4 linked regions of the Mytilus edulis genome follow. The protein of the gene in region 1 interacts with the protein of each later gene in a biochemical or structural test. Links are inferred from orthologs where the notes say so. Each region holds a gene or a part of one and is shown in the gene's direction. Other genes may lie near its edges.

What was found.
Region 2: of the proteins of ubiquitin-conjugating enzyme E2 S-like (region 1) and ubiquitin-like modifier-activating enzyme 1, one has a biochemical effect on the other in vitro, tested with the Homo sapiens proteins (8 studies listed by BioGRID, with this or other methods). The link is inferred for Mytilus edulis from reciprocal best matches to the Homo sapiens genes UBE2S and UBA1.
Region 3: the proteins of ubiquitin-conjugating enzyme E2 S-like (region 1) and anaphase-promoting complex subunit 2-like form a complex in vitro, tested with the Homo sapiens proteins (3 studies listed by BioGRID and IntAct). The link is inferred for Mytilus edulis from reciprocal best matches to the Homo sapiens genes UBE2S and ANAPC2.
Region 4: the proteins of ubiquitin-conjugating enzyme E2 S-like (region 1) and RING-box protein 2-like form a complex in vitro, tested with the Homo sapiens proteins (3 studies listed by BioGRID). The link is inferred for Mytilus edulis from reciprocal best matches to the Homo sapiens genes UBE2S and RNF7.

Annotation. Positions count from the first base shown.
Region 1 is NC_092352.1:76,826,618-76,833,780, reverse strand, and holds the start of ubiquitin-conjugating enzyme E2 S-like, read left to right. Parts: upstream 1-4,148; 5' UTR 4,149-4,272; coding exon 4,273-4,281; intron 4,282-7,163. Other genes in the region: ADP-ribosylation factor-like protein 6-interacting protein 1, read right to left, coding at 98-214, 1,082-1,227, 3,866-3,922. UniProt on the Homo sapiens protein: Accepts ubiquitin from the E1 complex and catalyzes its covalent attachment to other proteins. Catalyzes 'Lys-11'-linked polyubiquitination.
Region 2 is NC_092344.1:46,512,412-46,519,928, forward strand, and holds the start of ubiquitin-like modifier-activating enzyme 1, read left to right. Parts: upstream 1-4,506; 5' UTR 4,507-4,770; intron 4,771-4,937; exon of another isoform or gene 4,938-5,062; intron 5,063-5,156; coding exon 5,157-5,258; intron 5,259-6,394; coding exon 6,395-6,424; intron 6,425-7,517. UniProt on the Homo sapiens protein: Catalyzes the first step in ubiquitin conjugation to mark cellular proteins for degradation through the ubiquitin-proteasome system.
Region 3 is NC_092345.1:6,933,862-6,941,198, forward strand, and holds the start of anaphase-promoting complex subunit 2-like, read left to right. Parts: upstream 1-4,312; 5' UTR 4,313-4,341; coding exon 4,342-4,416; intron 4,417-4,546; exon of another isoform or gene 4,547-4,584; intron 4,585-6,974; coding exon 6,975-7,337. UniProt on the Homo sapiens protein: Together with the RING-H2 protein ANAPC11, constitutes the catalytic component of the anaphase promoting complex/cyclosome (APC/C), a cell cycle-regulated E3 ubiquitin ligase that controls progression through mitosis and the G1 phase of the cell cycle.
Region 4 is NC_092346.1:93,273,758-93,281,662, reverse strand, and holds the start of RING-box protein 2-like, read left to right. Parts: upstream 1-4,885; 5' UTR 4,886-4,923; coding exon 4,924-5,065; intron 5,066-7,905. UniProt on the Homo sapiens protein: Catalytic component of multiple cullin-5-RING E3 ubiquitin-protein ligase complexes (ECS complexes), which mediate the ubiquitination and subsequent proteasomal degradation of target proteins.

The DNA of each region.
Region 1 (7,163 bases):
AATTGTCAAGCCAAATATTACAATGTTACATAAAGTTCAAAAAATCACCTTCAAGAGGGATTATCATATAAACACACAATGTTAGTAGTATACTTACCATCTAGATGACATCAAAGTTGGACCAACCATAGGGACAAGGAAGTCAATCAGGATTATAGCCAATCCAATCAAAGAAAAAGTTGTCAAAATGGAGGGTTGAAAATACCAAATCAGGCTGAAAAAACAGAAAGAGTCAATGCATTATACATGTAAAACAACAGATAAAAATTCAATTGTACCCTGATCATGGTGTTTTGATATGGAAAAGTTTGGCATTACCACACATCCAACTAAGGTTCATACTATTTGAAAAACATGAAAGGGGAAACAACTCAATTAACTATTTTTTTTTTTTTAATTTCAAAAAGAATTGTGTGATGGTTTCTGGGCTTTGTGATGTGATGGACCCCAAAATCAGATTTTGTAAGATCTTCTTTATAGAAGCTTGTAAACAGCAAATGCTAATGACTATGATGAGAATATAATAATAAATAAATAGTTGATACAACACAGGTTTGTGTGTACATGTACATACATTTGTTTTGCCTGAATTTTTCAAAAACAATGCTGAATAACTTCATTTTTGGTAAAGACCTCAACCATTGTCAACATTGATAACTTGTATATTTTACCTTTTAGTTATTGTCAAATATTTTTTAATCACAATATGGTTAATGTTTCATGTGAAGGTCAACTCATTTTCTTGTTAAATACTATACCAGAAGTGGAAATGACACTTTGATCTGCCAATGTACAAAACCAAGTCAAACTGAGGGGCAGTAATGGCCCAGTGTTCAAGTTGTTACTACTGTAATCACTAGCCAGTCAACACTTAGGTTGTGAGTTTAAAACCCCAATCATGCAGATTTACTGGAATCAAATATTAATTGATTAAGGATTGTTAGGTGTTTTTTCCCTGGCTTCCTCCACCAATATAAACTGGCAGCCATGAAATAGCCAAAAAAGCGATGCTTATAAGTGGCGATATAACACCAAAAATCAAATCATATCAAACCAAGTCACACTGAATTTACAAACTTACAAGAAGACAAATGTACTGAGACCAACAATAATTGGTGGATGGTATGGCTTTTCCCAGTTAATTAATCCATTTAGAGGCAACAACACTTCTTTCCATCCTTCCAAATCTTTTTTTATTCTTTCCAATCTAGCACTTTTATTCTGCTCCTGAAATAGAAACAAACAAGTTAAATGAGAACCATTAATATAATTGTTGTTTTAACAACCCCTAATTTAATATTTTCAAGTATTTGCAAGTCAAAAAATTGAAATATATGTTTGCCTGTCCCAAGTCAGGAGCCTGTAATTAAGTTGTTGTCTGTTGTTGATGTACATATCATACTATATATACGTATATAAATCAGGAAGTCAGTTGTCTCATTTGAATCTTTTTTCATTTGTAATTTCTGGACCTTTAATATGGGGACGAAGTCCCCTATTACAGTAGAAAATTCAATAAAAAAAAAAATCGGGAAAATTTCCCGAATTTTTCATTGTACTAATGAACTCAAAATCGTTCAATTTTTTTTTGTCGCGTTTTTTTAATTTCCGGATCTGCGCAGAACACATAACTCTACTTCCTTCTTCCGGTCTTGTTGTTGTGAGACTTTGATTAGTCTAGTAAAATATAGGAACTCAAGGAACACAATACTAAATATATATTTCATTTTTAATCATTCTTTGTCTTTGGACGGGTATGAATAAACGTTACCTGATGCATTGCGTTTCTTTGTTTACATTGAACATGACGTCATAACTTAAATAACGTCACAAGTAAAATCCCTAACAACAGAACCAAAATCGGAAACGTTACGGTATTTCCGTTTCTTTTTTTAACAAATATTTTAAAAGTTACAAAAATTAATTTAAATAAACTTCGTCCCCATTCACAGGTACATGTAATGCCTGCCTCATATTAGCTGGCTATGTGATATGTGTTTTGCTCATTATTATAGTCCATACAGTGACCTACCAAGTCATTTGGTCTCTGGTGGCAGTTGTGTCATTGCCAATTATACCACATTTTTTTATTTTTATATAATTTGCAATAATAAATGAGTTAACACATTTTTCATGTTTACAGTAAGGTTAAAAATTGTATCTATTGAAAGACCCTAGAGGCTTGTGAATACATGTAGGCAGTATTTGAATATTAATATAACATCCAATTGAAATTTCTCTTGTCCATTAAATTGTACTTTAATGAATAGAGACTAGTATATTAAGACTTACTAAAAAGACAAACATTTTTACTTTAATTACAATAAGTAGCTTTTTTATATTAAATATATATTTTTTACAGTAAACAAAGAGGTACACGAAAAATCTTTTTATTTAAGAATTGAATGTTTCTTTTTGTAACTTCATTGGGGTGTAAAATGTCCTATAATATATGCCTTCGCATTATATATTCACTATTTAACGTTTTCATGCTGATATTTTCATTTATTATTTTTGGTGTAAAAGTGTTGACAGAAGAACATTTTGTATGAGGCGTGGAAGCCTACAGATTGCACGAAAGCAATAGTACATGTACATGTATCCAAAAAATCACCCCTCTTGTGAAATGTGAAAAGTGGGGCGTTTAGGTGGGTACAAGTCAAATCGGCACCTGGTCAAATCGGCACCCATAGAAAAAGTCAAATCGGCACCTATTTAAAGTCAATTCGGCATCCAATAATATTTGATATAATATATGGGACTGGGACCATTATGCTAAGATAGTAATTTAAGTATACTAGCATAATAGTCGCAAATATATATAGATATTTCTAAAAATGTATAAATTCGATCATGATTTATTTTGTTAAAAAGCATCAAGCTGTAAAAATACAAAAGTTGATCATTTAAAGTTTTCTCAACATTATGTGACTGATGTTTTCATGGTTTTGATAAATTTTCTTTTCAATTAATAAATAACTTTAATCAAGTACATAGTGAAAACACAATGTAACACCAGCTTTTGTTTCGCATATTTCTGTCATATTTTCACAACTATATGATATAATCTAATAGCGAGAATTAATACACAAACATAATTAGACCACAAAAAGACTTTTTATGGATATATGTCATATGTGGTATCAGGAGAAATTAAAATTCGAATGTAAACTATTCAGGTATCCTCATTTCCATTGTGAGGACAAGGATAATAGCATGAAATGTTAGGTTAAAGTATATAAATTTGAATTTAAAGATTGAACTAGAACATTTTTAAAGATAAACTTGTATCACCTGGTGTAAGAAAATGTGTGTCAAAAAACTTATAACTTGTACAAAAACCCTGTACAAATTATAAATTGTACAAAGTTATATTTTGTACACATCATATATTAAACAAATTTAACATGGGTGCCGAATTGACTACATCAAGTGCCGATTTAACCAGGTGCCAATTTGACTAGGTGCCGATTTGACTATACTGGGTGCCGATTTGACCAAGTGCCGATTTAACCAGGTGCCGATTTGACTAGAATTCGTTTAGGTTGGGGGGGGGGCTTAGTCATGGATTCTAATGGTCCTTGTTTATCTTTGTCTAAAAATTGACATGAAGACAGTTACCTATACATTATGGACAAAAAGTACCCATTCAGTTATTTTAAACATGCTGAAAGGCATTCACAATTTTGAAGATAACTTGTACTGCAAAAATGAAAGTGGTATAAAACAGCAATAATCTGAAGTTAGTTTTCTGCAACCAGTCACAGAGCATTATGCAAATCTTATATATTATCGATTTAACTGTGCTCCCTATTTTTTATCAGTGTTTCCTATAACAATTAGCATGGTAAGTGCACTTCTTTACCATTTCGTTTCCCATATCATTAAATTCCGCCATCTCAGATTTGTTTATAATGAGCATTGCATTCGGAGGACGTTGACTCACAAGGTGTTCCGTATAAAACTTATTGTTCTCTAGACTTATCCATCTCAAATTTTTAATAATAATTTTTCTGTTTTTTAAATAAGAAAATGATATTTCATTAAGCAACAATATTGTCTTTATTTCTATCTGTTTTGTTATTATTTTATCGTACCACTAATTTTCTCAAAATTTGAATTAAATTCAAACTACATCTCGTGTAAACGAGACTTCATATTTTAATTCGAAATTGGGTCAAGCAAAATTCTGACGTTTTGAATTATTCTGAAAGGATATTCGCATTATACAGAAATATCTTAACTTATTTTGGACAGAATAACTCAAAAATAATGTCGAACGTAAGTGGTATATGCTGCAATCCAATTTTCTCACAGTTTAATTCAAGGAATTCGACATATTTTTACAAGAATGGATTTGTTTTCATCCAAACTGATTCACAAAAAAAAAATACACAGATTTTTCGTTGATCTTCCAAGAAATAATTTTTATCTTATTCTGAACTCATTATCTAGGTTTCTAGTTAAAAGAGAGGAAATAATACCATGACAAGAGTAAAAACGTTATATTGCGTAATTGCAAGTAAAAGGGGAAGCGACAGTGAAACAAATGTACCACCCCCCTTTTTAGTTACAAACATAGCCTAGGGCATGTAGAGGTAGGTTCGAGACGGGTACTGTCGCAAGACCACTGGATACCTAGTATCTACACCACATGTCTCTATTTCCAGTCATTTTAGTTTTATATTCCTCATTAATCAGTTAATTGTTAGGTTTATCAACATGTAACTTTTATTGTAACTTATTTTTAAAGTCTCTTAGACTTTACAAGTTACATTCTTAGGGTAAAGGGTCTGTTCGCTCCCGAAGCCATAGGCAAAAAACACATTCACATGCTACATTTATTCACATCACATGTTGGGTCTGTTCTCTCCCAAAGGCAAAACAAATTCATACCCTCCTGTATACCTAACATGTTACCACCCTTTTCTATTCAAATACCTGTAGACTAAAGAGATGTTTTTCAGACATATTCATAAATACATATTAACAATTAAACATAAAGCTTAAATAGTTCACAATTCAAAAATTTATAAATAAAAAGACCAGATATTAAGGGACAGCTGCTAATTAATGCACTGCTGGAATTAAGAAAAATATTAAGGCGCTGCAGGACCACAGCGTCATATCGGCATGAGGAGAACACTATAAGTATACCCTGTGTTGAACAGGTTGGGGACAACCCACCAAATGGGGAACTATTTCCCAAATGAGTAACACTCCCTCATTTGAGTAATCATTTGGTAGTGCTAAAAAACAAAATTTTCTTATTAATAACTGATTCTTTTTTCTTTAAATGGCACATATTCAGGAAAAATGCATCAACTTTTCCAAAAGATGATTATCCTTATCTTGAATTACTGGGAAGATACAAGCCTATGAAAAATCAGAAAATTTAACTTTTCAAGGCTTTTAACTTTTTAAAAACCCATAACAGAAATATAATTCTTTGGGAGAAGTTGTTCCATTTTCTATAAATTTGTGCCATTTTACCTTTTAAAAACATGTTAAAAAAGACCCATTTTTAGAAAATTTATTTTTCTGCACTATGAAATGATAACTCAAATGAGGGATTGTTACTCATTTGGGAAATAGTTCCCCATTTGGTGGGTTGTCCCCAACCTGTTGAAGGCCCTACCTTGACCTACATTTGTATAATGGTTTACTTTTATAAATTGTTACTTGGATGGAGAGTTGTCTCATTTGCACTCATACCACATCTTCCTATATCTATAAATATATATAGTTTTATCATTATGTTTAGTAGTCAATACAGTAGTTTTGAATATTTGATAAATAGCCTGCTGTCCTGCTGTTTAATCCATATCGCGCAACTTTGATGCGCACCCTTTATCGCATACCCTTTATCAATGTTTATCACACCCTTACCTTTTATCGCATACCCTTTATCACACCCCTACTTTTTTTCTTTTTTTCTACATAGTCAGTTTTTATTTTTGTAAGCTTAAGAAAAAAATTTCCTCAAAATAGGTACGGTCATTTGGCGTAACAATTTATTGAATGACGTCATTGTTCGGTATGTACATGTGACGTCACAAACGTCAAGTTTTCATATTTTTTGTCACACTAAATGCAACTATAAAAAATACAATGATTATTATAATAAACAAAATATTTTTAAATTATAAGGTAACCAAGGTGCTTTGGATAAGTAATTGAGCAGTTCTTTTAAGGCTTTTTAAACAAGACAAAAGTAGAACTGAAGGAAGCCTAAAGGCCTTTGGGCTGATATTGGTGTCTCGGGATGATACGACATATGATACGGATTTTTCCATGTATTATTCTCTATGTTACTTGGATGGAGAGTTGTCTCATTTCTTCTTTTAATACAGAGTCTGACTCTTCTTGAGTGTATAATGACTCTTGCTCGTAAAATCATGAGGCCTTCCCTCCTCAATTATTAAAACCAGCAGTAATTATTTACAGTAATTATTATTTACAAATTAAAACTATAAACATCTGGGATCTACAGAGTTCTAGGTGTGAGAAGCTCCTGTCAAGGCCTCTGGCAGGATGGTAAGGCTGACCTTGAACTCTTCTAATGTAGTGTGTTCCATTCCCTGGTTGGTGTTGGGAAGGAGTACCTGTACTGGTGTTTTAGAGTACATGTATGCTGTTGGTTTATGCGCTGGCCTCCTCTGATCTGTAAATCTCTGGGTTTGTATAAGTTTAAGGGGTCAATATCTACCAATCTATTGGTGATTTTGTAGGCCATGGTGAGGCGGTCTTCCCCTGAGGCACCCCTGAGGGGGTTGGATTTATGACCTTCGAGTAATACAGATTGTGTTTTCTTGCTTAGGAAAAGTTAGGAAGTCTTGTATCCACCTGAGTGTTACTCTACGTATTCTGTAGTAGTCAATTTTTTGGAGGAGTCTCTTGTGGGGCACTGTGTCATTGGCTTTGGAGAAATTAAGCAGGATGATTGGGAGTAGAATTAATGAACATGTACATTGTACATGTAGCCCAAACATATACTTTTGTGTATAATGAAATTTTGATGATATTTTCCCTTTATCATGTTTATACATGTTATAGGACAATGTAGGACATGTAGGAATGTTCAAGTTGTCAATTTTAAAATTCTTAATTATATAAATGTACATTGGGTGTGCTCATTGTTGAAGGCTGTACAGTTACATACA
Region 2 (7,517 bases), on another chromosome or scaffold:
GAAGAGAGAAAAAAACGTGTTTCTTTGTGTATCGTTTTTCTTGCAATAATTCATTCCGTTTATTTTTCATTAATTTTTCAAATGAAATAATTTTTTAGTTGAAATAAAAATAATTGCAATACACGAACTATATTTATTAAATTATAAGATGATTTAATCAACTTCATGATTGGATTACAATAAATCATGATTAATAGACAAAGATGTTTGACAATACACACAAGCCCACGACACGAGACTGTTTTGACAATGGACTCGTGCCTAAACTAGAAACTCAAATTAATTACTCTATGATGTCATTACCCTGACGTTTCTCAATTTCAGGTGTCACTAGAAGAGCTATATAACCAATCCTTTCCAAAGAATCATCAGAACTTGTTTCAACTCTTATAGTGCTAACAACTACTACATATTCTTTATTAATCATGAAAGCTAAAGTACAAATGAGAAACCTCAACAAGAGGACCAAATTGGTTGAGAGCGAACGTCGATTCAAGAGAGCCTGTGAACAGATTGTCCAATTGAACTACTCTTTAGACGCACTTCAAAAGAGGTACAACAGAGCCAAGACTGACAACAACAAGTCTTTCAGATACTCGCTACGTCTACGCATAGCAGTTGTTGATGGAATGCGCAACATGTACTACGACTACGCTCACCAGAAAGCAGAATCCGTAGCCGAACTGAGACAAGAACTGTTTGGTGAAGTTGTCGACATTATTTCAGAAGATTCTTCAGCAGACATTGAGATGTATGACTAGAGGAAAAGCACCAGACTTCTTCAAAAAACGGTTCTTTTCAGAGCCACACACATTTTTCAAAAAGAATCTGAATTTGTTGTCATTAGTTTAGTTTATCTATAGTTCTGTTTCCATATATTATAACTGCAGCCCTTTTCCTTCCCGACTGAAAAAAAAAACAACAAAAAAAACAACAAAAATACCAAAAAAAAAAAGAGGCTTAAATCCATAACTTTTCTATAAAAAAATGAATGCGTACACCTTATCTTGAAGTGCAACAGGCTATTTTATAAGAAATTGCGTACACCTTATTTTTGTAGCAGGCTTCAAATTTCGAACGTGTTTTTTGGGGGTTAATTTTCAAGTTTGAAAAATAAATAAATCAATGAACTTGGCATAAAATAATGATGAAAGTAATGTTTCGAACAAAATCCCCTTTTATTAGCTCATAAGACTAGCAGTTATTTGTGGAATGATTGGATGATCTCCCTTTGTTTAAGACGCCATGGACAAGCACCGGGAGATTTTAGAATATAAAGTACCAAATGTTGGCCAAATTGCCGGCAATGCTATTTTTAGCAATTATGTCCTCAAATGGCTCTTTGAATAAACTTTTTATGGAAAAACATCTGTTGTCTTATTGGAGGTCGATATCTACTTGTGATTTAATTGAAATTAAATATATATATGATCCCATGGTGATTTGTTTTTTTACGATACCTTACGATTTCGCAAAAAATTTTCCTTAATTTGGAACAGCATAAAAAAACATTTCTGGCCCTGATCATATACATTTGAGGTCAATTTTGAGCTTGCATGAAACTTTCTTCAAAATGCTTTTCAGAAGAAAAATATATAAATGATGTAACAACCAATCACAGAAAGCCATCTATTTTTATCTCTATGTCATGTTCCCTTCACAAATGGCTGCGCCCATGTAATTTTATTTATGACATTGTTACCATAAATGGGATACGATTTTTTTCATAAGTTTAAGCTTTTCAAAAAGATTACTTTAACATTAGCGAATATGTAGTTTATAGGAATTGATATTTTATAACGCAGGCACTATATAGTAGCCAATAAATATAGTATTACTCTTTTAGCTTTACATTAAAAAAAAAGTTGTACACCTAGATACATGACAGCGATGATAATACTTAAACCATCAGAATACAGGGCCGTAACTAGGGTTCGAATTCAGGGGAGGCAGGGATTTGGGGGCCGCCGATTGAGGCCCCCTAGATCCGCCGATTTTTTTTTCTCTCTCAGTTAAAATGGCTAAAAATTACCCGTTTTCCTTCGATTTCCTTACTTTAAGAAACATCAGTATTGCTGGATCCTTGAAGCAATTTTATGCAAACAATTATTATCTGTATTTAAAGATATTTTTGTAAGAAATCAAACTGGTAAGTTAAAAAAACATATAAAGCAAGATCATAGAACGCAAGATATTTTTTTTTTATCGAGAACCTTGAATTTCAATATTGTTGAAAGCTGGACAGACATGTATAAACTACAACCAGGGACTTTCTATACTAGTATATACTTAGTATAGAAAGTCCCTGCTACAACGAATGGGAGTGTTAACTAAGTAACTAAGGCATTGACCATAATGTTCTAGTATGATCGGGAGATGTTAAAAAAATTATCCAACAGCTGATTCAGCCGGTAACGAATTTCCGATATCATTAAAGAATCACAATACAAAGTGAATTTCCTCTGCTTAATTGAGCCCCTAAATAAATGTGAATAGTAAGGTTTTATTCAAAATTGTCGAAAGCAAAATTTCATATGTGTTCTCGTACGAATACTGAATAACAGACGGACGGCCACACGAAAAAATAAAAATAAAACATACTGAAACGGTTCACAATCAATCAAAAATCCAGACAATGACAGATATAATTATCATGAATCATGATAACACTGTTAAAACTGTAAACTTGTGTTGTTTATGATATAAATTCAAGTTTTTCTTGTACATATTGTCAATATTTCATTTTATTACTTTAAAAAAAAAATGGTGCAGAAAATTCAGGGGAGGCAGTTGCCTCATAGGTAGTTACGGCCCTGGAATAAGAACATATATGCTACGCCAGTGAATTGAATGTGGTTTATCATGTGCAGACCCAATCATCTTGGTTTAGTTTATAACTACGTAGGCATTGACTTTCGATAAAATGAAATATCTATATATAATTTTACCAACACTGCGTTGATATGTAGTCTCAAACACCGCACTGCTCCTGTTGAGTGAACTTTCCGATATAGAAACGACAAGGACACGGACGTGTGCGTATGATAACAATAAAAAAAAATTAGATAATTTAATTACAGAGAAGGTTATCCGTTCAGATATTTTTACTCTATTTTAATTACAATTTTAAGAAAAGGTGGTCTAGATTTTTGTATATGTATTTGCGGTCTTCTCGATGAATTAACACTCAATGTTAGCATCCGTTTAAATTCGCCTAATAACTTGACTTAACTTCAGCATAGCAATCAGTTCAGCGACTCTTGTTTTGGTACTTTTGGCCAAATTGCTCTGATTTAGTCCAACAGAGGTATACAACCAGCAATAAAGACATGAAGAATTGAAAGAAGTCAGAGACATATAATATAATACAAATGTCTCTGATAAAGTTAATTTGGTATTCCCAGATTTATTCGCATATCGGCATATAGTATACCAACATTTTGAACCAATTTTACACAAAGCTCATTATAAAGTTGATTGATTGTTGGTTGCCTGTAAAGGGGAGTAGTATGTATCAATTTAAAGTATATATTTTTAAAATAAGACAAAAAGTCCTTCAATATACTAAAATTCTAGACTAAAGCAAATTGATTATTTACAAATAAAAATCAACAGTAAGATAACGTTATAAAAATTAAAAACGACTTAAATATAATAACATTTTTATATTCTATAATAAATTCCAATTTCTTTGAAAAATGCAACAATATTTGTAAATGGAACATTATTAAATAAATCATACATATTATTGACATTGAAATGCTTCTTACGAATATCAGTATAGTCAATACAATTAATTAAAACATGTTTAATAGTATACTTGCAGTTGCAAGATACACATTGTGGTTCATCTTCATTTTTTAAAAGATACTCGTGTGTTATTCTAGTATGACCAATACGACATCTAGAAATAACACACTGATCTTTTCTGCACATAAAATTATTAAAAGGTTTGCCTAAATTAGCTTTAATTTCATGTTATTTATTATCATCTTTTTTACTCCATTCATTTTTCAAAATATTAAAAACATATTCTCTAATATTAGATTTAAAATCAGTATATGGTATATCACAGTTAGATAAAGGGTCACCCAGGGCATGCTTTGCCTCATTTTAAAGTCTACTGTCCTTGTTTTTTTTCTGTTTTAGTAAAGCAAATGATAATATTAATATGGAAATTTTATTTTAATCTAAATCTATTTTTATTGTACTTATCTATTAAAACAAGTAGATTTATAATTATTATAATTAGGTTTTTGTGAATCTTGCTAAATTACATAAAATTAAAATGATCAGTTTTATTTTTGAAAAAGTTATCCCGTCGCAATTATGAAATCATTGCAATAACCTGTGGTCGATTTTGATGAAAATTTTGAAAAGTTGAAACTGTTTGAGAAGCAAAAACCTTGAATTATGTTATTCGAGGTGTTGACTGAGGGTGTTGACACGTGTAGGTCCTTGTTTTACTTTCGTTTTCTCCTTTGGCCTCAAATTTGCATATTTCCCAGAATTCCCGGGGAGTGACATAGAAACAGGAAGTACTTTGTATGTCAGAAATATTATTGGAAATCACCGTAATCGTTGACTCATTTCTTTTGATAGTGTCTTTGTTCGAGACTTTTCGATAGCAATTTTCATATTGTTATTTATTTAAGATCCAACATAGAAGACTTATAATTCATCGGGTAGAAGAAAATCTGTCAAATATCATCGAAACTGAAGAAAGCCGCTCATGCAAGTCGGATGTTCATGTTGTGAACCCACTTGTTGGTTTGTTCATATATTATTATTTAATCTCGTTTATAGAATGATCTTCATACTGTTTTATTGTACATAGTTGTAACATTTTTTTTCTTTCTGGAATCATGTCATTTTAAAATTATGAAACTTGGCCTGTCAAAAAATTTATTTTGGGTGTTAACTGAGGTAAAGGCCCGAGTGATCGTTCTTCCGCACGTGTAGGCTTCCGTAACCTCCGCCATTTTTGTGGCGCTGAAACTCGTCTGCAACTTCAAAATCATCTTAGTTCCTTTAGATTTCCTTTAAATTTAGATTTAGACAGGTATTTCAGTTACAGCAAAGACCAAATTGTATTAAAAATCTTTGATTTATGCTTGAAATTACTCTGCAGTTGTATTTTCTTTGTGTTTTACCAGATGTCCAGTTGCACGGATTCTGAGGGTCCTCCTGCCAAGAAACAGAGACAAAATAACACAGAAAATAATAGTGAAAATTCCGCTTCAAACTCTGTAAAAGAAGTGAGTATATTTCAAAAGACGAAAAATAGCTTTCCGTTAAATATGCATGGATCAATAATTTCCTGAAAGTGAGCGAGATTTTTTTATATTTTACTTTCAGAGAAGCTTTTAAAATTAGTATAGACTGTCATTTGGAGTCAGTCATGTATTAGTTAAGAAATTGATGAGGACACAAATAGTTTTCTATATAACTTTTTAATTGTGTGAAATATTGCACCAAATCATGCAGGATTGATGATTGTATCAGTTTTGAAAGTGTATCAAAATATGGTGGGCTAAAGTAAAAAAGAAAGGATCCTTCCATATGAGCCCCACAACGATCTTACAGGTATCTTACAGGTAGAGACCACTTTTAAAAAACACTATCATTGTATCAAGTTGATAGTGATCATTAAAAGGGTTGACAGCTAGTTTCTACATAGGATTTTATGCATGTGCACAGAATACTAAAAATTATTATAATGTTTTAAGCTAGTGTACCCTCGTGTCGAATGTACCATGCATACATTTTTGTAATAGCATCATGAGCTCCATACACCAATTTTGAGTTCAGCAACATCAAAAGTTTTACTCTGACTTGCATGAACCTCATTTTTGAAGTTGTTAACTTATTGTCAGTATTTACCATATACATGATATAAAAACAATCTCTTAGTCTGAAACTAAAAATTGGAAGACAGTTCATTCAGTTGCAAACACACTTGATTTTGGTGAATTTTACTTGATTGAATTGATAGCCTACAAACATTTGAAGATGGAGCCTTTGTTTTTCAGTGCATTGCAATTGGCGAATCCAAATTGGGGAAGAGGGGTGTTCCCTTGAATGGAACTCCACTCCCCTTTTACCATTTTTTTTTTTTAAAATATGAACATTTCAAATGTTTCATGATGTTGCAGGAGTTAAAACTCCCTGGCAAAATGTTGGGATCTGTTCCTGCAGTGCAACATGTAGAATATAGAACACTTTTAACTTTGCATGTCCTTTACAGCTCATTGATTAGGCCAAAACAAAGTTACTTGTTTCCTGCCTACTTCAGAAAAAATAGTAGTAGATAGGTACATGTAAAAATTAAATTTTTAGTCCCCTACCGAAGAAGAAGTAGAATGTAATGATTGAATCTTATTTTTGTTGATAGGGATTTACAATGGGATCAAAGCCAGTAAAGGTACTTTTGCCCTTTATATCACTGCAGCACTGTCATGACTGGGTGGCAAAATGGAAAAAAAATAAAACTTTTATCTTTGTTTTCTGTTTTCTTCAAAATCTTATTTTGAACATGCTGAATTTTCATTTTGTACCCATCCAGCTTCTGTATTTAGTGTGCTTCTTTGGTGCTTTTCCTCATGAGAACCGTATTATGAAAACAACAAAGAATCTTAACATTTCCAGCTACTAGTCTGAATCAGAAATTCCAACATTTTCACTAAATAAGTAAACATAATTTCGTTAAATGATCACTAGCCTGAGTCAATTTATACAAGAGTTGGCCATGGTGCTTGGTTAAAGGCACAGACTGTCTGTTGTTATCCTAGAATAAATGGCTAGGACATATGTTGTTACTCATTTCAATAACCTTTTCATCACTTACTAAAAATTGTCTTGATATTTTTCTCTCTGCCTACATCATGTACAGATAATGGTCTGATCTATGTCCTAATTGGAATAAATAGGGATACTAATACAACAGGGGTGTAAACTATTTGTGTAAAGATTTATCAGTCAGAAAATGGATGAACGGGATGATTCATACATTATGTACAGATGCCTTATGCAGTGTTTAAGCTAGGATTTTGAGGGCTTTAGTCACTTTTGCGCGCTATTAAAATCAACCTTATTTCGTGTAAAAGCAATGGACGAATGATGTATATTACTAGCTTCATCTTTTGACTTAGTCAGATTTTTAAGGGATTGAGGCACCAGCAGGATTGGCAGTTATTGTATGATTTGACTGTATTGGCCATTATTATGAAAGATTCTGACATGGAATCCAGAAATTTAGTTCACAATTTCTCTTCAGTTTGTTCCAGGGGGTCATTCCTCAACAAAAGTTGGATTCTATTTTTTTTAAACAAGGAATCACAGCAAAAATTAATTTGCAATGATTATTTCACTGCATAATCATTATCCTTATAAAACGTCTCGGCCAATAATTTAAAATCATTTCTATCAAGTTGGAAATGTATAAAATCCTTTTTGGAACGATTATCATGACTGAAAGGAGGTTGTAAACAAATCAACAATTGATCACGTTTACTACT
Region 3 (7,337 bases), on another chromosome or scaffold:
CCGTCGTCGTTAACTTTTACAAAAATCTTCTCCTCTGAAACTGCTGGGCCAAATTAAACCAAACTTGGCCACAATCATCATTGGGGTATCTAGTTTAAAAATGTGTGGCGTGACTCCGCCAACCAACCAAGATGGCCGCCATGGCTAAAAATAGAACATAGGGGTAAAATGCAGTTTTTGGCTTATAACTCAAAAACCAAAGCATTTAGAGCAAATCTGACGGGGTAAAATTGTTTATCAGGTCAAGATCTATCTGCCCTGAAATTTTCAGATAAATCAGACAACCCGTTGTTGGGTTGCTGCCCCAAAATAGGTCATTTTTAGGAAATTTCACCGTTTTTGGTTATTATCTTGAATATAATTATAGATAGAGATAAACTGTAAATAGCAATAATGTTCAGCAAAGTAAGATCTACAAAAAAGTCAACATGACCAAAATGGTCAGTTGACCCCTTAAGGAGTTATTGCCCTTTATAGTCATTTTTTGACAATTTTTCGTGAAGTTTTGTTATCTTGTACAAAAATCTTCTCCTCTGAAACTACCGAGACAAATTTAACCAAACTTGTCCACAATCATCATTAGGGTATCTAGTTTAAAAAATGTGTGGCGTGACCCGGCCAACCAACCAAGATGGCCGCCACAGCTAAAAATAGAACATAGGGGTAAAATGCAGTTTTTGGCTCATGACTCAAAAACCAAAGCATTTAGAGCAAATCTGATAGGAATAAAATTGATTATCAGGTCAAGATCTATCTGCCCTGAAATTTTCAGATGAATCGGACAACCTGTTGTTGGGTTGCTGCCCCTGAATTGGTAATTTTAAGGAAATTTTGCTGTTTTTGGTTATTATCTTGAATATTATTATAGATAGAGATAAACTGTAAACAGCAATAATGTTGAGCAAAGTAAGATTTACAAATAAGTCAACATGATTGAAATGATCAGTTAACCCCTTTAGGAGTTATTGCCCTTTATAGTCAATTTTTAACCATTTTTCGTAAATCTTAGTTATCTTTTACAAAAATCTTCTCCTCTGAAACTACTGGGCCAAGTTCATTATCAGGGGCGGATGCAGGAATTTTCGAAAGGGGGGGGGGTGCTAACCCAGGGAACCCAGGGAACCCAGGGCAAAGGGGGGGGGGGGGGGTTCAAAACATATGTCCCGATACAAATGCATTGATCGGCAAAAATAAGGGGGGGTGCGCACCCCCGGAACCCCCCCTCCCCCTGGATCCGCCACTGATTATAAATAGAGATAATTGTAAGCAGTAAGAATGTTCAGTAAAGTAAGATGTACAAACACATCACCATCACAAAAACACAATTTTGTCATGAATCCATCTGCGTCCTTTGTTTAATACTCACATAGACCAAGGTGAGCGACACAGGCTCTTTAGAGCCTCTAGTTTTTGTTGCTGTGCAAGCAACTGACTCTTTACAGCGGTAGAAACCAGATCATGGCAGTCACTTATCATGACAAGTTAGAAAAATGTATTGCGGCGGGTTATATAATTATTTTTTATCGCCAAAACGACATAAATAAATGAAATAAAGTTAGTCTGCAATCTTTTTTAAAACAAGTTGGATCTTTTGCTAATTGATCTTTATCAAAACTATTCCAGAGATCACATAAAGGTTGACATTTGTCAGAATATAACATGTCAAGGTTAAAATTACCAAGCTCATTATCACATTTAAAAATGATAACATCTTATACAGTAATTAAAAAAAACTATTCGGAAAAAGTATTTGCAGGCGTGCACTAAAGGTTAATACACTACCAACTATTTATTATGATTTAAGTTCACCTCTATTGTCTTACATGTTATCTGCTGGACGGAATATCTGTTGTTTATATGATGGAAAGAAGACCAACGCCGCCGGAATTTCTATTAGTCGTCGATAAAGTTTATACCAATCAGCTTCAAATATAGCCTGGGGTCCTGGCTAATCTTGTCAGTATGACGCGCAGCTAGATTGGGCCGGATCCCAGGCTACTTCAAATAAACTATCATAACACGATATATAAAAAAGAAGATGTGGTATGATTGCCAATTAGACAACTCTCCACAAGCGACCGAATAACACTGAAATTAACAACCATTGGTCACCGTACAGCATTCAACAATGAGCAAGGTCCATACTGCATAGTCAGCTATAAAAGGCTCCGAAATGACTATGTAAAATAATTCAAACGAGAAACTAACGGCCTAATTTATGTACAAAAAATATATAACACATAAACAAACGACATGTACAACCACTGAATTACAGGTTCCTGACTTGGGACAGGCACATACATACATAATGTGGCGGGGTTAAACATGTTAGCGCCGGGGATCCCAATCCTCTTCTAACATGGGACAGTGGTGTAACAGTACAACATAAGAACGAACTATAAAAATCAGTTGAAAAAGGCTTAACTCATCAGATGAATAAAAATACAAATACTACAAATACAAGTTAGCATTACAATGACAATTCCGACCCATATATACCTGGCAGTTCTTTCTCTTGCGAGTACAGCTGTTTCCTGTTATTTACGAGGGTATGAATGCTCCCAGGCTTGTTTTCGGCTACCATTAGCGTCAAATTGGTTACTATTGGCTTTACATTGTATCATAGTTCAAATTATTCGTTCAGTGTTTGTTTTAACCTGTGTTAATTTGTCTTTTTATTGTGTTAGGCCATTTTAATTGATATTTTAGTGTGTCTTCCTATGTTGTGATGTTACACTTTTGTTTCAGATAAAGGTGAAGGTTGGTACCTATTTAAAAGTTTAAACCCGCTGCCTTTGTTTGCATCTGTTCTAAGTCAGGAATTTGATGTTCAGATTATGTCGTTTGTTGATGTGTTAATTTAAACATATTTTATTGTTCAAAATGACATAAGGATCAGACACAAGTTTTACAACTTAGTAGCGTCTTCTCCGAATGATGTGTTTCATAGGAGTTTCTCGTTTCTCGTTTCTCGTTTTTATATATAGATTGGACCATTGATTTTCCCGTTTGAATGGTTTTACACTAGTCATTTTTTGGACCCTTTATAGCTTGCTGTTCGGTGTGAGCCAATGCTCCGTGTTGAAGACAGTACTTTGACCAATAATAATTTCCTTTTACAAATTGTGACTAGGATGGGTAGTTGTCTCATTGGCACCCATACCACATCTCCTTACAACTAATTCAGGTGATATGGGGATCTTCGCCATTTTGGATTGTATATAACGGAGAACCTAAGGTCTAGATTTTCAATCAAATTAGCAAAATTTGGTGAGGAATGCAGATCACTTATAATGTGAATTTTCATTTAAAAGAATAGATTTATAATATTTCAACTGATACATATTTTTTTCAACAACTCGGAAATAGTGTATTTTCTGATAGAACTTTGGCAGGTGTCATCTGACCTTGACCTCATTTTCATGGTTCGGTGGTTATAGTTAAGTTTTTGTGTTTTGGTCTGTTTTCCTCATACTTTATGCAATAGGTCTAATATATTTGTTGTATGGAATGATTGTAAGGTGTACATGTCTAGCGGGCAGATGTCATCTGACCTTGACCTCATTTTCATGGTTCAGTAGTCAAAGTTTAGTTTTTGAGTTTTGGTCCTTTTATCTAATACTATATGCCATAGGTCAACCATATATTTGGTGTATTGAAATATTTTATGATCTTTATTTCAGTTGGGCTTGTTTTATTTGAGCGTGACCTCAATTTCACGGTTCATTGTACAGTGTTACGTTTTTGTGTTTTGGTCTATTTTTCTTAAACTATAAGTAATAGGTTAACTATATTTGTTGTATGGCAGCATTGTTAGCTGTACATGTCTGCCCGGCATGGTCCATCTGACCTTGAACTCATTTTCGTGGTTTATTGGTCTCGTTTAGTTATCTTGGTTAATGTTTAGTTTATGTGACAGTTGTAATAAAGCTTTATACTTAGGTCTATCAACATAATATCAATGATAAGTAAAGAAGGGGAGACATTTCAGTGTGTGCACTCTTGTTTTTATATAAGTTGGTATTTTTTAAACTTTATTTTGAATTAAAAAAAAAAGTTTGCAGGTGGAAAATATAGTATAGATATCAATAAAAAAAATCACACGGCAAGTACACCACTCCTTGAAATTTTCTCTTCCAGACAATATGATGAAATTTTCTCTTTCCAGACATATGATGAAATTTTCTATTTCCAGACATATGAAAATCAGTAATGATAACTGTTTGTTACATTGAAATCGAAAATTCAGAAGTTGAAAACTATTTTTAACTTTTTTTTGTATTCCAAACCGTTCCCGGAGCCGTAGCAATAATTTTTACCCAGATTGGTCAATAAGCCAAGATGGCGGCAAATGTTGAACTTGTAAACAGAGCTTGGACTGTTTTAACAGACACTTTGACACCTGGAGAAAAAAAAGTAGCAATTCTTTTTAGAGTTAAAATATTTGCCATCCTTTTACTTAGGGGTCAATTTACTTTACGGTGTTGGTAAGGTTTCGGGGGTAAGAGCCGGTGTTATCTGGTTTAGATCTGGTTATGGTTGGGGTTTGTTTTCTAAAATATAAATCTGTCTGTATCTGTAGTGGTACGTGTAGAATCCTTTTTAGGCTTTTATACACGGTGGAGAAGAGTGCTGTTGTTATGGGCAGTGTTCTTGTAGAGCGGTCTTAAATGCTTCTACAGAACATGCATGCACAACTTGTTGGTTCCAGTGAATAGTTGTTTCCACAAAAAATTAATGTTTGTACTGTGGTTTGTTGCCGGTAGGTCGTTTCACCACCACACACCGCCAAACACCACTGAACACCCCAAAAGTTTATTATTTTGTCTTTTAACGTTATAAATGTGACTTAAATATAACTTTCAAGTTATTAATTCAACAAATCACAAGATTTAGAGTTCAAATATTAATTGTTTCTTCTTCTTCTATCTCTATAATAGTTGTACCAATAAGGCCAACTAAAATTAATTAGTAGATTTACATCCAGATTTTAAAAAAAAACTGGGGTGGGTGGGAGGATTTTATTTTTTAAATTTTATTTCATACGAAACCCTCTTGTGTCCAGTTATTAATACCGCAGGGCGTATAGGCAAGTGTTAAATAAGCTTATATCATGTACATAATTTTTCAAACTCTTGAATAAATATCTCTGATTGGCAACCACTGTTATACATGTAATTACAGCTTTAGAAACTGGCCTATATATAAACATAAAAAATGTAGAGAAACATGAGAAATGCTCTCTTCAGTTGGACTATACCAACACCAAATTCATTTTGCTTTCTAAGCCATTGTGTGTAGTAGTACAAATGTAGGCAACACATGTATTATGAGTACAGAATAAAATGAAAACTCAAACAGTGTTGAAAGTAATAGGTTTGGTGCTAGAGCAAGATATTGTAAATCATGAACTTAACCAAAAAGAAGTTGTTGTTTAATAAATATATTGAGGGTATTGGGACAGAGGGTGTTTGCTGTTTATCAACAAAAAACGACAGCCATATAAGGTAAATGTAAAGGCTTGCTGTAATGACATGCGTATGATTGTAGACTTTTGTTTTAGCTCAATTACATACGGTCATAAATCTAACAAGTTAGTGCTTATGTCAATTTCTTTAATCCCTTCATGATTTTGTACCAATGTGTTCCATGACTCTTGCCCTTTGGATATGCCCTTTGGATATCATTCACAGTCCAATTTTCTGACACAAAGTAATTGTATAAATAAAAATAAAAACAGTTTTCTAATCATTTGTGACACACTGCCATTTGCGTTCTTAGACACAGCTTTTTACTCGTAATCCGAATATTTCATGCCTTTCTCGTATTCAATCTCTATTCTCGGTAGATAATGATGTCATCATAGAGCAGCAGAATATGCCGACTTAATCATTTGAGATAACTTGAAGGAATACAACACCAAAATTTGAAACAGGAAGTTTGAATGCAACGAAATTATAAATGGTTACCGGTAACGGACATGAAAAAAATTCGGAAATCGTAAATTTTTTAAATAAAAAAAATCGGGGCGGGACGATTTCAGAGGGGCGGCTGGGATGAAAATCTATCAATTAATTTTAATTGGCCTAATAAGAAAAGAGACTTATGTCAAAATCTAACCGAGAACAGAGATCGAAGATACTTCAACTTATTACTTATTATGAATACATTTGAATTTTATCATTTTAATAAAATACACAATGTAATCTGGAAGGTGATGAATCCAGAGACATTTTTCCTTGTATTGATTATCGATTTTAACACAAAAATGATGCCTATAAAAATCTACAAATTGTTTAATTATAAGTGATTAATAATTTGTTTTATCGTTTTATTGTATAATATCACAGTTTCTCATAGTGGTTGGTGGTTTTTGGGGTGTTCGGTGGTGAAAAGACTCACCCGTTTGTTGCTAATTGATACTTTAAGTCCTCTGGTGTTATTGTTTACTTGACGTTCAATAATATTGCCATATGTGTGTGTTAAATATATCATAATGTAATCGTTCTTTACAGCGATATGGTCTAGGATATATGACCCTAAAATTATAGTTTGGTATTCTTTCTATTTAACACATCATACATGTCATAGTTGAATTATGGGGACCCAGGGGTTGTGGGCTCCCTTTATGTACACATACTATGATGTAGCTACAAATTTATTATGACAATGTACATACATTGTAATTTTAATTGTTACCTGTTATACACCTTATCACTTAAGGCTTCATTAAAATTTTGGCATCATAATACAAAATATCTGAAGCCACAATGGAAAAATGGTTGTTACATATGCAAAATATATGTTCAGACTGGCACAGATCTAAAAGTTGTTTAGTTTGCGAGCAATCTGTGGAAAAAAATTCAATGTAAAAAACAATTACATTACTATTTGAAATGAAAAAGTTTTGAGTTGATACAAGGGTGTCATATATATTCAACCTTTATCTTACTTTATTTATTTGAATTTTTCAGACTTCCCAGGCATATATCAGTTCAGAAGTTGAATTCCAGAATGCTGTTGAAATTCTATGCAAGCAAGATTTAGGACACATCATAGAGGAATGGTTTCTGGATACTTTACAAGAAGATTTGCGACAAAAAGTTGGTCCACAGTTCTGGAACTACTTTTCTATACAGCCAAGTGAAACAGACCAACTTCTTGAAGCAGTTGAATATTTACATAAAGTGACAATGGACTATCTCCCCTGTATTCAAAGACTTGAATCCACAACCCAAATAAAACGTTGGAGGAAGTCATCCACCTTATTTAATACATCCTCATTGACAGAAGCTTTCATACTTCTAATGAAATCAACATTGTTTTCCATTTTTCCT
Region 4 (7,905 bases), on another chromosome or scaffold:
CAATCCAGTATGATGTTGTTTGTAGAATAAAAGTGTCAATCCAAATGCTGTGAATACTAATGACTATCAATGTCTATGTCCAAGTTTTAATTATGAGAGTTTAACTTTAGTGTCTGTATATATAGTGTTGTCATGGAAAATTCTAGAACACTCTATAATGGAACATTGTGGAAAATCCTGGAAAGTTACAACGGAAGTTTCTGGAATAACGTAGAAGTTTAAATTACGCATCTTTTATAAGGATCATTCTAGAAAGTTCCAATCATTCTGTGATTGTTCCAGTGATTCCTAAACTGCACAGTTATAAGATTATTTGGTAAACAACTATCAGGCCATACAACACAAATTAGGCCAACATAAATAAACATAATAATTACAATATCATAACAACATCTATATCATGCATATTAATGTTTAGTAGTTCTAGCACTTTGATATATTGTTCTCGGAGAGATTTCAAGAGAGACATTCTTTCAGCTTCTAAAGGTGTACATGAAATCAGAAAATGTGAAATGGTTTCATCCTCTTTACCGCAAACTCTGCAGACGGCAGAAACATCATTTTGATTAAATTTTGCTCTATTTGTCTGTAAGATGTAATTGCCAGTTGCAAATCTGGTCCTAATGGGTAATTTGATTATGTCTCTACAATTTGATGTATTTGTTGTAAGAATTGGATGTATTCTTTTTGCCATATATTCACCAGATATGTATTTTAAGCTGGAGTATTTCTCTGATTCTTTATTAATTTTGTCATTCCAATAGGTATGTATTTTTTTGGTGATTAAACTTTTCCATTGCAATTTTCCTAAAGGGTTATTTAAAAAATCCTGACAGTCCAAAATGTCATATTTCAAACATATTTTCTTGATTTGGATGAACCAGCTATTACTTTGGTTTGTCTTTAAATGTAGTTGTCTTTCTGCTAGTCTCCATTCAATGGTAGATCTATCTGCTCTTGTAATATTTCCGTATAGAGATGTAGTTAGCCTCCATAGGTAGAGATCCACTTAAAATGTATACCGCAGGATCAGCTGTATTTTTGGCTAATGACAGCTATCATTCTAACCAATTTTCTAACCAAGTTATTACCGTATCACCATATTACCAGACAAACACAAACGAAAGACTAATACTTTTTAACTCAGGATAAAGGTTAATATTAATTAGCATGATTAGCTCGGTGGGTTTTTTCTAATCATGTTTTAATTTTTACCTAAATTGCCTAATTCTTACAAAGACTGGCACTTAAATAGCATGATTAGCTCGGTGGGTTTTTTCTGATCATGTTTTAATTTTTACCTAAATTGCCTGATTCTTACAAAGACTGGCACTTAATTAAATATATATTGATGGAGGTGAAAGAAAAGTGAATATTTAGCGAATTTAACTTTACTCGATTATGGTATTATTGTACTGGTGGAGATTTATTGAATACACCGACTGTGGAGGTGTGCCTAGAGTGGCAGAAGTTATAAAATACATTTACAGATACAGATTCTGCTTCTGCTTCTCTGCTTCTGCCAGATAATGGCCACAATCAACGAACTGATTATACTGCCATGGTTTGGTGCGCATATTAGACCACCCCCCTCCCCCCAAAAATTTTGAAATTTAATTCAGCTTTGTCATAGAGGCTTTGAAGGCCTCGACTGACGGAGCTGATACGACCCCAGGGGGAAGAGCGTTCCAATCCCGGATGGTTCTTGGGAAGAATGAATGTTTTCTATAGTCACAGGATGCTGCTGGTACTTGGAAGGATTTGTCATGCATGTTTCGTGACAGTCTTTTCGGTGGTATTAGACGACCTTCCTTTGATATGGCCACTTTGTTGTTTTCTATTTTGAATAGCATTGTGAGTCTCGCTTCTTTCCTTCTTTGATCAAGTGATGTCCATTTGAGATGTTGTAGCATCAGATTAACGCTGGAGTGGTTATGATGTTTGTTGGATACGTAGCGAGCTCCTCTTCTTTGTACCATTTCAAGTCTGTCTGTCTCTGTCTTAAGATATGGATCCCATACCGGACTGGCATATTCTACAATTGGACGTACTAATGTTTTATATGCATTCTCCTTCACTGTAGTTGATCCTATATTTAAGTTTCTTTTTAGGAAACCAATTGTTCGATTTGCCTTGTTACATATGTTATTAACATGCTCATTCCATCTGAGATCGGATGTAAATGTGCAGCCTAGGTATTTTGCACTACTGACTGACTCAAGAATTTGACCATGTAGGCTGTATGATGTTGCAATTGTTTTGTTTTTCCTGCTGATGGTAAGTACATTGCATTTGTCAGGGTGGAATGACATTTTCCATTTTGATTCCCATATTCCGAGTTTATCCAGATCTAGCTGTAAATCGTGTGCATCTTTGTCTGATGATATCGTGAGGTATGCTATTGTGTCATCTGCGAATAGTCGGACTGTAGATTTAATTCCATCTGGCATGTCGTTAATGTAGAACAGGAATAGTGAAGGCCCAAGTACTGATCCTTGGGGTACTCCTGACTCTACATCAATATGAGATGAACTTTCTCCATCCACAACTACTGCTTGGGTTCGATTAGACAGGAAGCTAGCAATCCACTTATTCACATTTCCTCGGATACCATAGTGTTCCAGCTTATGCATCAGGAGACTGTGACCAACCTTATCAAAAGCTTTTGAAAAGTCCATAATGAGTACATCTGTTTGCTTACCTGCGCTCATGTTGTTGGTGATATCATCCACAAATTCAATCAGCTGGGTTTCGCATGATCTTTTGCTACGAAATCCGTGTTGTAATGGATATAGAATGTTGTGGAGATCTGCATGTTTCATAATATGACTAGTTATTATGTGTTCCATGAGTTTACAGCAGATGCATGTCAGAGATATTGGTCGATAATTCTCTGCCTTGTATCTCTCTCCTTTCTTGAAGACTGGACTTACGTTGGCGTTCTTCCAGTCAGATGGTACTTCCCCAGTATTAAGTGATGTTGTAAAGATGATAGTTAGAATTGGGGCTATCTCAGTTGCAAGTTCTTTTAGTATTCTTGGTTTTAGATTGTCTGGTCCTGAAGCTTTATTTGGATTTATTTTTGTAAGTAGTTTCAGTACTCCATTTTCTGTAATAATTAGATCCTCAGCAGAAGGGTATTGACCTGGCATGTTACAGCGAGATTTGAATTTTTCTGGACTATATGTTTCCTTGGAGGAGAATGCAGACTGAAACTGCTTATTCAGAATTGTAGCTTGGTCCACAGGATGCGAGTGTAGTACTCCGTCACTACGTAGTGGTGCCACGCCGCTGCTATCAGTCTTCATATGTTTAATATAAGTCCAGAAGCGTTTCATATTGCTGTGTTGTTGGGTTTCTTCTTGAGGTGTTACTATGTTTTCTATATACTTCCAATATGCACGACGTAGTTCTTTCTGTACTTTTTGCCTGGCTTCTTTGAATTTGGATGTTATCTTAGGATCCACTGACTTTTTCTTTCTTTTGTATAGTCTGTCACGGCGGCGTATTAGTTTACGTACATTTGGTGTTAGCCAAGGAAGGCTATCTTTCTGTTTTGCTATCTTGTGCGGGATATGGTTTATTACACTTTGGTTGACCTGGGTTTTGAATAATAACCAGAGTTCTTCCGCTGAACTTCCATTTGAGGCTAGATTTCTGATCTTTTCGTGGGTTTGGATCATTTCCTCTTTGATGGTTTCCCAGTTTGCCTTCCTGTATAAGGGGATGTTCCGTGGTTTTTGTTTTCTAGTTAAAGGCTTGGTGTCTATTTCGCTGAAGACAATGTCGTGGTCTGAAACCCCAGGTATAACTTTGGTGCGTGTGAAGCGTGTTGGATTGTTCGTAATCACTAGGTCTAGCGTGTTAGGGCCTCTTGTTGGTTCCTCCACTAGTTGAACAAGTCCATTGTCGTCAAGAATGTCGCCAAACTTGTAGTGGTTTTTCTGACATGTTGATTCTGGTTTCAGGGTTCTTGTTATCCAGTTCCAGCCAGGGAGGTTAAAGTCGCCACCAACAATTATAAAGGCATTCTTTGTAGCGTTTACTTTTTCAAGACTTCGCCCAAGTTCTTCAATGCTTTCCTCATTTGATGTTTTAGGGTTGTAGTAGGATGCAAGATACAAGTCTTTACTACCAGCTAGACTGATTTTAGCCCAAACAATCTCGCAGTTTGTGTGTAGCTCAGGTACAGGTGTGCTTAGATGGTCATGATTTATTGCTATTAGCACCCCGCCTCCTTTCATGTTGCGGTCATTTCTGTAGATGTTATAATTTGGTGGAAAAATCTGGTTATCTTTTACAGATGAATCTATCCAGGTTTCTGTTCCTAGGACAATATCTGGTTTGGTGCTTTCAACTAAGTTCTTAATTAGTCCTTGCTTTGATTTGATGGACTGAAAATTTACTGTAAGCATCTTAATAGGTACACTTTTTGGACTTTTATCCTGCTTCTTTCTGTCTGGTGTTGATGCGTGAATAGGTTTGATACAGTCAGATGGAAGTGGACTCTGGAGAGATGTATCTGATAAAATGCTAAATGAATTTGAAGTGGATAATACTATGTCAAAGCAAACTGAGCTGTAATTAGGACAGTCACAGATAAGGCAGTCCCAAGCTATTGCACTGTCCTCTACTAAGATGTTGTATGTTCGAGAGCTGACTGATTGACAGGTGGTATGGTACCACTGGTTACAAGTATCACACATGATACCTTTGTCTTCCCATGTAACAGGTTCGTCACATGTTCCACATAGAAATAATGTTGTGTCTGGACCTGGATTTAGGTTTATATCGTTTGCCATGATTAGTAGCATGGATAAATATGCAAGATGATATGTTTGTTTTCCATGTGTTTCATATGAAAATCCATTTTTATTTTTTGCGAGAAAAAACGTGAAATCAACACTTTACAGAAAATATAAAATGTCCGATGAAATGGAAGTAGATCGCGAAACTGCTAAGAAACCAGAGAAAATGTTCACTCTTAAGAAATGGAATTTAGTTGCTATGTGGAGCTGGGATGTTGAGTGTGATACTTGTGCAATTTGTCGTGTCCAAGTCATGGGTAGGATACATATATCTGACAGAAAAGTCGCAATATTTTGATATGACACAACAACAACAAAAATTATTGAATCTAATTCTTTTAAATATAAGTGTGAGTTCGTGGTCTAGTGGTTAAGACCGATGGCTACAGTGCTGAAGGTCCCGAGTTCGATTCTCACTCGGGGTGCTAAAAATCTCAGTACATTAGAAGGGTAATTTTCACCCTCTCACACACATCTCTGGTACCCAGACCGGAGTTTAAACTAGAATGGGTACGTTGGGGGCCTCGGTTGGTCAAAGTGTCCCTACTTTGACCTGGAGATCAATCTTCTGATATCTCTCTGGTTTGTCTGTTTCCACCGAGTGGCCCGGTGGTTCTCTCCGAGTACTTCGGCTTCCTCCACCACAATAACAGACTTCCCGGTGTCCTAGCACTCCCTTTGTGTTGAATTGGGTGGGGATTGGTTGTCCTTGTAAAAATAATTGTCGTATAAATATACGTTAGTGACACATCTCCATTAATCCCGTTAGGGAGTGTACATGGATGCCACTGTACCCTCGCAGCTTTCGAGGGGTTCTTCGGATATCGGAGGCATTTACCAGTACATACATACATAGTACATTACACTTTGAACACAGCCGGATATTTTCGACCAGATAGAATCTTCAACAAACCATATTCACATATTGTTAGGGGGGAAAGGGGATTACTGGACTAATCACTATGGTATCAAGAATAAACAGGTTGGGAACGGTATCAGGTTCGTTTGCGCCCAATACACTTTCGCACCCTACACGTTCGCATCCAAGGTCCGTTCGCACTCTACACGTTCTCGCCGAATTTTAATTCAAATTCCAGGTGAATAATTGGAAAATCATGATTGTTGTTATAAATTGCTTTGTTGTAAGTAAAACATTCAAGATTTTAAATGAAAAACACAAAAGATAATTGTTTTTAACAGCTTGGTGCCTTTGATCTGAAACAATAAAATATCCCCGAGGAACCAGTAATGACGCACCTAACGTTGTGTTTGTCTCTGCATTTAATCTACCATTTAAAAGAAAAAGAAACACGGAATAGAATGAAAGATTGATCACTTGTTAATGTATTTCAATCATTAAACAGTTGATTTTTGAAACAGTAAAAGCAATAAAAATCATGTTTGCTAACATTACAAACGGACTGTCAACTTATGATGGGTACCAGTAATGACGCACTATAAACAAACCAGTAAAAACCACTTGCAGTGTACCTGATGTTCGAAAAATTGCTTCAATCCGGATAATTTAAAGTTAACACTATTCAACAAATTTAATTTTAATAACAAATTTTGACATTTACAGTCACTTTTATGATCATGTTGATAGCAACACAATTTTTTTCATTAATTTAATTGTAACCTATATTTTATTTCAAATTTTATATAAAATTGTTCAAAATTTATCAAAGTGACATATATATTCCATATACTTGAAAATAAGAAGTAATTGCATTCATAAAACAACATTGACATTAAAACATTTATCAATGTATACTTCGTACAATGAATGAAAAAAATCGATAAACAATAGAAAATTATATAAGCGACGATCATTTGTTCTACAGTGATTCCCGCTTAAATGTAAAACCATGTCACATGACAGTCATATGATTTGAAAAACACAAACTGGGGCAGCATGTGCATACATACTTTTGCCGGCCAAAGTGGATTTAGGACTGATAATCATTCTGGGAAGGGTAGACTGTTTTTGACCTTAATAAAATGGCAGAAATTGCATTATCTTTACTAATTCAAGCAATAATAACATTTCTGGACAGAGTTTGAGGCATCTATGTTGTAGTCATATGACCTTCACCATCATGTTATGAATAGTAATTATCGATGACGTCACTTCTTTTGTTTAGAAATATAAAACCCAAAACTAAATTGGTGCGTCATTTCTGGTCCGCGTCAAAACAGGTACCAAGACGATATAGCAATACACTATTATAACCAAACATGATAAAATTTATTCAACACACAAACAAAACGTAGTCAGAATTTAACTTTATTTTGAAACAAGTCAATGGAACAAAGTTATAGCAATACACTAACCAAAACATGATGAAGAGTTATTCAACACAAAATAAAACGTTGACAGAATCCCACTTTATTTAGAAAGGATTTTTTTTTTAACAATACATGTACACTATCCAAAACATGATTAAGATTTATTCAACACAAAAAAAAAATGCTGTCTCACTTTATTTTGAGACAATGACAACAAATATAAGAATACACTTGCCAAAACTTGATTACAAAGCTATAGTTATTGAACACAAAACCAGTTAAAATTGGGCGCGAACATGTAGGGTGCGAACAGACTTTGGGTGCGAACATGTAGGGTGCAAACATGAGTAGGTGTGAACGTGAATGGGCGCGAACGGACCCGGATTTGTTGGGAACAAACCCTCTATATGGTGATTATACCTGTATAGAGGGATAATCCTTCTATAGAGGGTACAATTATCTCTCTATAGAGGGGTATTTTTGTTTAGACTGGATTTAAATCAAAATAGGACAGAATGGCATTCTCTACATGTTATATCTGTTCTAATCATTAAAGTTGGAGTTATCTTCTTTTTCCATAATTATAACTAATTGGACAACCATTAAAGCTATCTTTACCCTTCAATGCTTACAAGTACTCTGATTAAAATATTGAGATGATTGACAATTATGAAAATGGAATCCAAAATGATACAGTTTTGGGTTCTACACATATTAGACATGGTTGGGCCTACAGTGATGTAATATGGACCGCATGGCTCCCTGTTGAAGGCCGTACCTTGCCTACAACGGTTTACTTTTAAGAATT